Rattus norvegicus: one gene and its partners. The protein of the gene in region 2 purifies or fractionates together with the protein of the main gene of each other region. This does not show direct contact. Links are inferred from orthologs where the notes say so. Each region holds a gene or a part of one and is shown on either strand. Other genes may lie near its edges.

Region 1 (3,138 bases), on a different chromosome or scaffold from region 2:
TTACTCTTACGCTTTTGCCGGGAGGCAAGTCAGTGAGCTGGAACCTGAGGGATTTTGTTCAGAACGATGCAGGTGCTCTTGCGTGCAGACCGGTGTGGCTTCTGTATTTCAGTGCTTTCTTCCTCTGTGCAGGCAGCAAAGGCTGGCCGAGTGGAAGGCGACTCAGCTGAGGAACAAGTTTGGAGAAGTTTTAGAGATCTCGGGGAAGGATTACGTTCAAGAAGTCACCAAGGCTGGCGAGGGCTTGTGGGTGGTCTTACACCTGTACAAACAAGGGTGAGCAGAGGCTGGCCTCCACGTGGGTGGTCTGTGACTTTGTCCCCAGTCTGTGTGAGCCTTAACCTCTACAAAGGGATTTGGTTTGTGTTTTGTTTTGTTTTTATCTGCACTTGTGTTCTGTGTTTTTATAGCTGTTGGTCCAAACCATAGAGCTCGGTTTCCATCGTAAGACTTTAATGTTTGCGAGTAATGTGTTTCCGCTAAAAGTATAGAACACAGACTTAGGTTTCTTTGACTTAAAAGAATTCTGCCAAGTGTAGTAGCTCACACCGGCAGGCCCAGCATGAGAGGCTGAGGCCCGAGAACTATGACAGAGGTCAAGACAAGCCTGGACGGCATAGCGAGTTTGAGGGCAGCCTGGTTACATGGCAAGATCCAGACACACGAAGCACGGCGAGTGAGGTGTTCCTGCAGAGGAACCGGTTCAGAATTACTCTGTGCACCTGAGGACTTGCAGGGGGACCACATGGCTGCTGAGTGACCTGGGGCCTCCATGATTTCCCAGCAGACACCGCTGTTCTTCACCCTCACGGGATGCTTGCTCAGAAATCACTTAAGGCAGGAAATGCTTTCTGGCTTGCTTCACAGGCATCCTGTGTTCTCTTCAGTGTCCAGAAAGCTATAGCGGTTTTCATAAACTATCAAAGCTTTTTCCTCACACATACTGTTAAGTTTGGGTTTGGAGGTATTCCCCTTCCCTGACCACACTAGAATGGCCTTTATTTTATTTTTTTTTTTAAAGAAATGTGAATTCATTCTGCCATAGCGAACATCTGTGAAGTTCCTGTGAGGTTGTCATGTCAAGAGAAGGCCACCAGGCTCTGCCCTGTCTGCTCGCATCACAGCCACTCTGTTTCTCTTCTGTGTTCCAGGATTCCCCTCTGTTCCTTGATAAACCATCACTTGAGTGGGCTCGCCAGGAAGTTTCCCGATGTGAAATTTATCAAAGCCATTTCAACGACCTGCATACCCAATTACCCTGACAGGAACCTCCCCACAGTGTTCGTCTACCGGGAGGGGGATATCAAGGCACAGTTCATCGGTCCCCTGGTGTTCGGTGGCATGAACCTGACCATAGATGGTGAGGGCTTGAGGATATTGTGAGAGGTGGGCGGGAAACTCTCTCGGGGATGTCAGTGTCCATGACACACGTCACGCCTTTGCCTCATCCCTGCAGAGTCACCTGGAGCAGTGAGCTTTGGGCAGGACCCCTCTGAGGGGTCCTGGCGTCTTACGCAATTTGCTTTTCTTTGTCTCCAGAGTTGGAGTGGAAACTATCTGAGTCAGGAGCAATCAAGACAGAGCTGGAGGAGAACCCCAAGAAAGCCATCAAAGACGTGCTGCTGTCCTCAGTGCGGGACCCTGTCCCCATGAGGAGGGACAGTGATTCCGAGGACGACTAAGATAGCAGTGATGCAGCCTTTCGAACTCTCTTGATAAGACGCATTGTCTGGAGTTTCAATAAGGAGGGAAAAGCAATAATTTATCCTTTTGGGTTTTAACCTTTTTATAATTATTTAAATTTTATACATTTCAGATATAATCATTGCTGAAATTTTTTAAGAAATTTGTTGGAACTCTTTATAATGTTTCTTTAAGAATTTAAGCTCTTATGTCACATATCCATGTTTTCCTACATGTGTTTCAGCAAACCCTGTGACTGTTTAGTATCTTTTGACATGCAACTATAGAGAAAGGAATGTGGAGTTTAAAAACACAATGCAAATAAATTAAGTTAAAAACTAAAACATAACAGTGCAGAAAACAAGAACTCGGCTTTATAGTTAAGTCAGACTGTCCATTTTCATTTTATAAAGCTAGCAAAAGAAATATCAGCTGATAGAAATGGCTGATAATTTTGAGACAAATACTGTCTTATCAAACTAGCTGACAGATTTCAGCTTACACCATGTTTGTATTCAGGTCAGTCTTCCAGTTAACTCACGTGTGTCTCTGGCTGTTAAGACACCAGCTGTTCTTTGTGGTGGCACATGCTTTTAATCCCAGCACTGGGACACAGGCAGGCAGGTCATGTGAGTTCAAGGCTGGTCTGGCTTGCAGGGCCAGGGCCACCTCACCAAGACCCTGTCTTGAAGCCAAAAACAGAGCTGTTCTTGGCTCTAAGGTCCTGTTAGGTTCGGCTTGGGGGACTGAGGTTTAAGCACACACACATGTAAGCTGTGTCCCAGCTGATTTATAAAAATGTTTCGGGATACTCTTTGAGTCAGAATCCTATAAATTGATGATGAAAGCTGAAAAGTATCAATAATATTTTTGTTGAATGTGGTAACATGTATAGCTGATTGGAACCTTAGAGATAAGAGTCTAAGAATACAGGATTTGTTCAGATTATGTTGTAAAACTTATTTCTTGTTGTAATCCCAAGACTGACAGAGTGTGAGAATGCCTTGTTTTCTATTACTGGAGGGCCCACTACACCGCTGAACAAAAGCCGTTTGGAGTGGCTTCCTTCGGACATGCTGTGAAGTTTTAACAGCAGGGTTGGAAAAGTCTTGGGTTCTGTTGCTGGTGAAGATCCCATGTGGCTTGTAGGAGCGCTGCGGCCTTATAATCTCTGCCGTGGCTCACAGCTGCAGTTTGATGCTGTGTTCGCCGTAGAGCAGTAGTTCTCTACGTGTGGGCCGTGACCCTTTTGGGAGCCACACCTCAGATAGTTACCTTACAATTCATAACGGTAGCAAAATTAGTTATGAAGTAGCAACATAGAAAATTTTATGGTTGGGGTCACCCAAGGATAAAGAACTGTATTAAAGGGTCATAGTGTTTGGAAGGTTGAGGACCAGTGAATTAAGTGGAATTTTTACACTAAGAGAGTGGTAGAACCAGGATGCAGGCAGT
Region 2 (3,652 bases):
TATTCACTCAATGCAAAAAAAAATTAAATAAAATTTACAGTATTATAATTTGAATAGGTGCCAAATGTCCTGTTCCTTTTCTCCAATCAGGAAGAGAAAATTCTTTTCCAAATCACTTGAAGCTTGGACAACCCCCCCCCCCCCCAACATTCTGTAGCATCCCAGGCAGACTTCAGCCCTTCAGAGAGGACATCCCAGCTCTCATGATCTCGTCAACCAGGAGAATGTTGGTGGCGATCACAGTACTGTAAGGGAAGAGAAAAGGACAGCTCAGATTTCAACCCAAACTGCTCTGTGTCTGACCAAGAGTCATCTTGGGAGTTCAAACTCACCAGGAGTGAAGCAGCTGCTTCTTCACACAGTAGTTATCCCACACACCCATTTCTGCGGCCACCATTGGCTCACCTGCAAATAGCCAGAGCACCAAAAGCTTTTTATCAAGAAAACACATTCTATTTTATGAACCCTACCAATTCTAAAACAAAACCAATGGCCAATTGAGACCATTTTTTTAAAAGATGTTTTTCTGTACTACAGCCCTAGACAGCATCCAGGCTGCAGTCCTGCTGCCTCACTTCTGGGATCACAGGCTGTACCTTGTCAGCCTCAGGGTCTTTATGGCTTATCCCTGACCAGTCATCCAAGAGTCTTCCAATCACTGCTCTTATCCAGAACATGTCTGACGTGTGGCTGATCTCTTTAGCAATGCTCAACTGCTTACCAGACATTTGCACACTGCTTGGCACACACTGCTGTTGACCCACATGTGTCTTTGACTTCCCTCTCTCTCTTTTTTTTTTTACTTTCCTACAATGGTATGCTGTGAACGTTACTCCCACGATATTTTTTTTCTTTTATAAGATTTCTTTTTATATTATTATTATATAATTTATGTTTATTTTAATGTGCATTAGTGTTTTTGCCTGCATGTATGTCTGTGTGAAGGTGTCAGATCTTCTGGAGCTGATGTTACAGACAGTTGTGAGCGTTGTGAGGGTGCTGAGAATTGAACCCAGGTCCTCTGTAAAAGCAACCAGTGCCCTCAACCTTTGAGCAATTTCTACAGCCTATCATTATTATTATTAATCTTCTTCCTCCCCCTCCTCCTCTTCCTCTTTCTTCTTCTTCTTTTTTTTTTTTGGTTCTTTTTTTTCGGAGCTGGTGACCGAACCCAGGGCCTTGCGCTTCCTAGGTAAGCGCTCAACCACTGAGCTAAATCCCCATAATCTCCTATAAGTTGCCGACACAGGCTTTCTGCTTTGTACACAGCACTGGCACCAAGATCCTCCTGTCATCCACCTTCCCAGTCCCAGCTTCACCCCATCTAGTTTTACCCCCACAAATAAGGTGCAGCACTCTCACCTGTGTTTAGATCCACACCCACAAGCTGACCGGATTCTGAATGTTCAGCTTGAACTTTAACTAATGTTTCCTGAAGGTCAAAACCAGAGTTCTGCGCAAGAACCTAGAGAACAAATTAATTCTTGAAAAGACATGCTGAGAAATGAGGGTTAAGCCAGAATAAATGAGCAGTATTCCCAATTTTATAAAATGTCTTCTGACCATACAAGAGCTGCAGCATACCCTTCCTGCCCCTGCCAAACAAACAGGGGTGGGGTTGCATGCTTTGACCGAAGACAGAACCGTTATCCATGTTCCCTGATGAAGAACAGGCAGAGGTGTAGTTGACCAACTGACACATCCCAAACCTAGCCAATCAAAGCACTGGTCATAACCCTAACCTTTACTGAGTACCCAATGGAGACCAATAACAACTGATCTAGGCAGTGGTTTACTGGGCTGGTGCCACGCAGCTGTGTTAATCTGCCCATTAAAGACTCCCCTTCCTACCACGTGGTCCTTAATTTGTGTCTGATCTCTAAGCTGGTTTCCCCTTTTTTTTCTCTCCTGTCCAGCTACAGAGATTTCCTACTTGCCTGTCCCAGGATGTGGTAGGGTGGATATTCTTTTAAATTCTACCCACTCAGGGCTGAAGCAGTATCCAGACAAATACCTTTGGCTGGCATGAGCTTCACTATGTACCAGGCTGGCTGAAATCTGCCTGCCTCTACCTCACATATACTAGGATAAAAGGCGTGTGCCACCACAACTGGCTAGTTTTCTACTGTAGGAACAAACTAACATTTACAACTGACCATAGCTAAAAGCTGAGCGCAAAACTAAGTTTTTTTTTTTTTTTTGGTTCTTTTTTTCGGAGCTGGGGACCGAACCCAGGGCCTTGTGCTTCCTAGGCAAGTGCTCTACCACTGAGCTAAATCCCCAACCCCGCAAAACCAAGTTTTAAGTAAGTATTCAAACCTTGGGAATGATGAGCAAGGCATCTGCAAATGCCTGGACCCCAAGCTGAGCTCTGCCCTTCACACTGGGCTTGTATTTAATCAGAGCCTCTGCCAGTGCCACTTCAACTGCACCTGCACCCGGGACAACACAGCCTGTTGGGCATGGGAAGAGAAAATGCTATGTTACAGAGAAAGATACAAAACCTACCAAATAAAAAATAAAACAAAAGGGACAACAGTTTAGAACTCATTTTAAGGTAATATATTATTAGGTAATTAACTTAGAAATTCACTATGCTTGTGAACACATACACAGACACACACACTCACGTGCATGCAGTTTTTACAGTAACAGAGATGGAGGTACAGGTCTCAGTTGTGTTAGGCAAGTGCTGTATCAATAGGCAATACCCCTTGCACAGACTTACTTATACCACAGTATAAGCAATCAATAGCCAGCAAAAAGGTCGAATCTTACCATAAGCAGTAATCAGTAGCTCAGGAGCCACCAGCCTTAGCCACTTACTTGTACTCACTTTTGATAATGATATACCATACAAAATAGCATATCAGCCATCTAAAACGGAAGCCTTTACTTTTGCATGGTGTCTGGCTGTGTAAATTACTGACTAAAGAACACAGTATTCAGCCATGCCTGTTAGACCAGCAACAAGAACACAGTTCAAATACCGAGAGGTTCTTACCATCATCAATAGCATTTTTGACAGCCCTCAAGCCATCTCTGATTGCATCCTTGATCTGAGTCAGCGTGTGCTTGTTTGGTCCTTTAACCAGTAAAGTGACAGAACGGGGATTGTTACATTTCTCAATAAAGGTGAACTTCTCCTCACCCTGTGTAGAAGAGAAATTATTGTCAGTAACAGGTTACCCACAGTCATGACGGTCTCTAACTCTATGACAGAGGCAAAGGTCTCTGAGTTCCAAAGCTATACAGTAAAACCTTATCTTAAACCGAACAAACACAAAAACCAACTTATTTCAAACCAACCAACCAAACCCCATAAAATTGTTAACCATCTAATTTTGAGTTTAAAGTTTCCTACTCGACCACTGATAAACAAAAAAGTCTTAGAAAGAAAACACTTACCAATGTATACTCATAGACAAGCCCTGCATGTCCCAAACAGTCAGGATTCAGGTCATCAAAGGAGTTCAGAGCTATCCCACCACAAGCAAGAGTCAGCCTGCAACAGTGAAACACATTGGGGAGATTACAGTAAGCCACGGTGATCAGGTGCAAGCAAGGAGATTCTCAGAATGGCATGAGAGTGTATCTTAAAGCAGCCCCCTTCGCATTCATCATAACCCAGTGGGTAGATGGCCCATTAAAC
Region 3 (3,331 bases), on a different chromosome or scaffold from region 2:
CGGACGGGGCCAGCTGCATTGACATATCAGACTACGGGACCCGGCTGTGGACTGGGGGCCTGGACAACACCGTGCGCTGCTGGGATCTGCGCGAGGGCCGCCAGCTGCAGCAACATGACTTCAGTTCCCAGGTGCACCCACAATCCTCGGCCTCCCCGGGGTGTTCCTACCTGACCTGAAACCGGGTGGGACACAGCATCTGTGGAGACGGCTTGGTGGGTAAAGTGTTGCCTTGATGGTGTGAGTTCAAATCCCTAGACTACATAAAAAGCCAGACGTAGTTAGACATAAAAATTGCCTATAACCCTGGGCATGCAGAGAGCTTGAGGGCCAGATTATTCAAATAAGTGAGCTCCAGGTTCAGTGAGAGGCTCTGCCTCAAACAAGCTGAGAAGCTGGAAATGGAACACATCTTTTAAAAAAAGATTTACTTACTTTATGAGTACACTGTCGCTGTCTTCAGACACACCAAAAGAGGGCATCAGTTCCTATTACAGATGGTTGTGAGCCACCATGTGGTTGCTGGGAATTGAACTCAGGACCTCAGGGTGGTCAGAGCTGCATATTGACAGTCTCAAACACCCCCCCCCCAAATAAATAAAAAGTAAAAAAAACACAAAAACAAAAACCTCAGACTAAGAGAGACTCTGCAGCTCGTACCCCTAGTCCCCCTGACTCTCCATGAGTGAGAAGCAGGCCACCAAGCCTAGTCAGCCCTGGACCTTCGCCATCTGTACAGCTAGCTCTCTCTGCCCAGAATCCCGAGGTCCTGGGATCCTCTCATGAGTGCTCACGTGTGCACCTGTCCCTGGCCACCTTGTCCCCATAAGGGGCACCCCTGGGTCTCCGGCATCATGAATGGTCCAGAGTCTCAGCACTGTCTCTCTTGCCCTAGATCTTCTCGTTGGGCCACTGTCCCAGTCAGGACTGGCTGGCCGTGGGGATGGAAAGCAGCCACGTGGAGGTCCTGCATGTGCGCAAGCCTGAGAAGTACCAGCTCCGCCTGCACGAGAGCTGCGTGCTGTCGCTCAAGTTCGCTTCCTGCGGTACAGGCCTGGGAGAGCCCTGGGGACAGTATCGGGATGGAGGGAGGGTGGCACACCCAAAGGCTCGACTTAGACAACGAATCAGCCAGGCCTGTTCACCCAGCTGCTCACTGAGGTCCAAGCCAGTTTAGATAAATGCCCAGACACACCCACCACCGATGTCTCACACACACACAAAGGGATGGAGCAGGTGAGGTGACTTGCATGCCTTTAATTCCGGCCCTTGGGAGGTAGAGGCAGTTGCATCTCTGAGGTCAAGTTTAGCCTGGTCTATAGAGCTCCGGGACACCCAGGTCTACATCGAGAAACTGTGGAAGAGACTCCATGTTGACTGGCGGTTCCATGTTGATTGATAGAGCAGAGTGGTGGGCTTCGGGCTGGAGTGAATTTCTAAGCTTTTGGACACTGAAGAGCTGACCCCTACCTTGGGGGTCACTCCCTGCCCCCTCCCCTCCCCAGGACGCTGGTTTGTGAGCACAGGCAAGGATAACCTGCTCAATGCCTGGAGGACACCCTATGGGGCCAGCATTTTCCAGGTATTCACCTCCCCGAAGTGGAGGCCATGTCTGCATTTTCCTGTCCTAGACATGTCCTGTAAGGAGTCCCGCACTGAGCTCCTTGTTGAGCACGATGTTGCCTTGCCAGGAGCCCTCCGTGTTATAGCAAGTGCCACAGCCATGCTCTGTTCATGGCTCTGTGTGCTGGGGTGAGGGCAACTTTGTCTCCCACTGCACTGTTTTCATTTTGGTGTAGATGAAGTGAAATCTTTCTGTAAAAGGGCCTCGTGTGCTGGGCTGTGCTCTTCTCAGCTTAAGTGGCAATTTCTTTTTTATTTTAAGATTTATGTATGTGAGTACACACCAGAAGAGGGCATCAGATCCCATTACAGATGGTTGTGAGCCACCATGTGGTTGCTGGGAATTGAACTCAGGACCTTGGCGAGAGCAGTCAGTGCTCTTAACCGCTGAGTCATCTCTCCAGCCCTAAGTGGCTACTTCTAATAAGTCTCTTGAACCTTCTGTGGACCTGCCAGTCCTTCCCAACAACCAAAGATCTCAGACTCTCCAACCTGGAGCTGGATCATTACTGAGTTGGGGCCTTTATATCAACCCTTCACACATGAGGGATACCACTGCCCCTCTGGGACATGGTGACACAGATCTTCGATCTCAGCGCTTGGAAGGGTGGGTGGGGCAGGAGCATGGTTGGTGAGGGCTGGGGGGAGAGGAGAGGAGGAAGTGGAGGTGCTTTGCTGTGAAGCCATCTGAAGTCAGCTCAAGGAGTTAGGTACCATCTCTCTTAGATCAGTCAGGCTAGCTCAGTCCCCAGCTAGAAGGCCCTGGCCACAGCCACACCTTGTTGTCCTCCAAGCCCCATGTTTATGGTCTGTGCACTTTCTGGTGGTCACCATGTGTCCGCCCCTCACCTCTCCTTTGTCCCAGTCCAAAGAGTCTTCTTCCGTGTTGAGCTGCGACATCTCCAGGAACAACAAGTACATTGTGACAGGCTCAGGGGACAAGAAGGCCACTGTGTATGAGGTGGTGTACTGAACCATGTGCTGCCTTTTCAAGCCACCTGCCCTGGATGGCAGGCCACTCGGGACATGGGTCCCTTTGCCCACACTTGGCTTGCTCCCTCCCGGATGGGTGGGACTGGGGGCACTGGGGAAATATAAGATTATTTATCAACTTGCTTTCCGTGTGTGTGAGTGTGTGTGTGAAGCACACAGAGGACAGACAGAGGCCCAGCTGGGTGTCAGCCTTCCTTTCTCTTTACCTTGATTTTCAGAGTTGGGACCTTACTGTTGATATGCCCTGGCAGACAGGTCAACGAGCCCCAGGGACCCTCCTGTCTCTACCTACAGAGCTAGCACATCCTCGTTGCCTGCCTGGCAAGGGCTTTACCAACTGAGCCATCTTCCTAGCTCTCTAAACCAAAACCAAACAGGGTGAGGTCCGTAGCTGGTGTAGCCCTGGCCATCCTGGAACTCAGAAATCCGCCTGCCTCTGCCTCCCGAGTGCTGGGACTAAAGGCAAATACTAAGAGGTTGGAGGGCTCGGAGCTACAAAGTCCTTCCAAAGCCTGGGAAAAGGACAATCTCCGCCTTTTAAAATGCTTTATTACCTATGACTCAGGGTCTGCACACCTCATGGAAGTCTCTGGAAGCATCGCAGACCCTTCACACCCTGGCCATCCACCACTGTGCAGTTAGGGGAGGGGAGTTGAAGCTGTCAGTACTTGATGTGATATATGGAGGCACAGTCCCCAGATCCTGTGACGATCAG

Evidence for each region.
Region 1: the proteins of Cct6a (region 2) and Pdcl3 purify together in Homo sapiens (affinity purification with mass spectrometry; 3 studies listed by BioGRID and IntAct, with this or other methods). This does not show direct contact. The link is inferred for Rattus norvegicus from reciprocal best matches to the Homo sapiens genes CCT6A and PDCL3.
Region 3: the proteins of Cct6a (region 2) and Tle2 purify together in Homo sapiens (affinity purification with mass spectrometry; 3 studies listed by BioGRID and IntAct, with this or other methods). This does not show direct contact. The link is inferred for Rattus norvegicus from reciprocal best matches to the Homo sapiens genes CCT6A and TLE2.

What each region holds. Positions count from the first base shown.
Region 1 is NC_086027.1:48,735,927-48,739,064, forward strand, and holds the end of Pdcl3 (phosducin-like protein 3), read left to right. Parts: intron 1-132; coding exon 133-276; intron 277-1,151; coding exon 1,152-1,360; intron 1,361-1,539; coding exon 1,540-1,682; 3' UTR 1,683-2,628; downstream 2,629-3,138. UniProt on the Homo sapiens protein: Acts as a chaperone for the angiogenic VEGF receptor KDR/VEGFR2, increasing its abundance by inhibiting its ubiquitination and degradation.
Region 2 is NC_086030.1:32,509,042-32,512,693, forward strand, and holds part of Cct6a (T-complex protein 1 subunit zeta), read right to left. Parts: intron 3,506-3,652; coding exon 3,409-3,505; intron 3,153-3,408; coding exon 3,005-3,152; intron 2,956-3,004; exon of another isoform or gene 2,825-2,955; intron 2,454-2,824; coding exon 2,320-2,453; intron 1,466-2,319; coding exon 1,363-1,465; intron 406-1,362; coding exon 333-405; intron 246-332; coding exon 173-245; 3' UTR 1-172. UniProt on the Homo sapiens protein: Component of the chaperonin-containing T-complex (TRiC), a molecular chaperone complex that assists the folding of actin, tubulin and other proteins upon ATP hydrolysis.
Region 3 is NC_086025.1:8,769,223-8,772,553, reverse strand, and holds the end of Tle2 (transducin-like enhancer protein 2), read left to right. Parts: coding exon 1-131; intron 132-895; coding exon 896-1,046; intron 1,047-1,505; coding exon 1,506-1,582; intron 1,583-2,488; coding exon 2,489-2,596; 3' UTR 2,597-2,739; downstream 2,740-3,331. Other genes in the region: Tle6 (transducin-like enhancer protein 6), read right to left, coding at 3,278-3,331.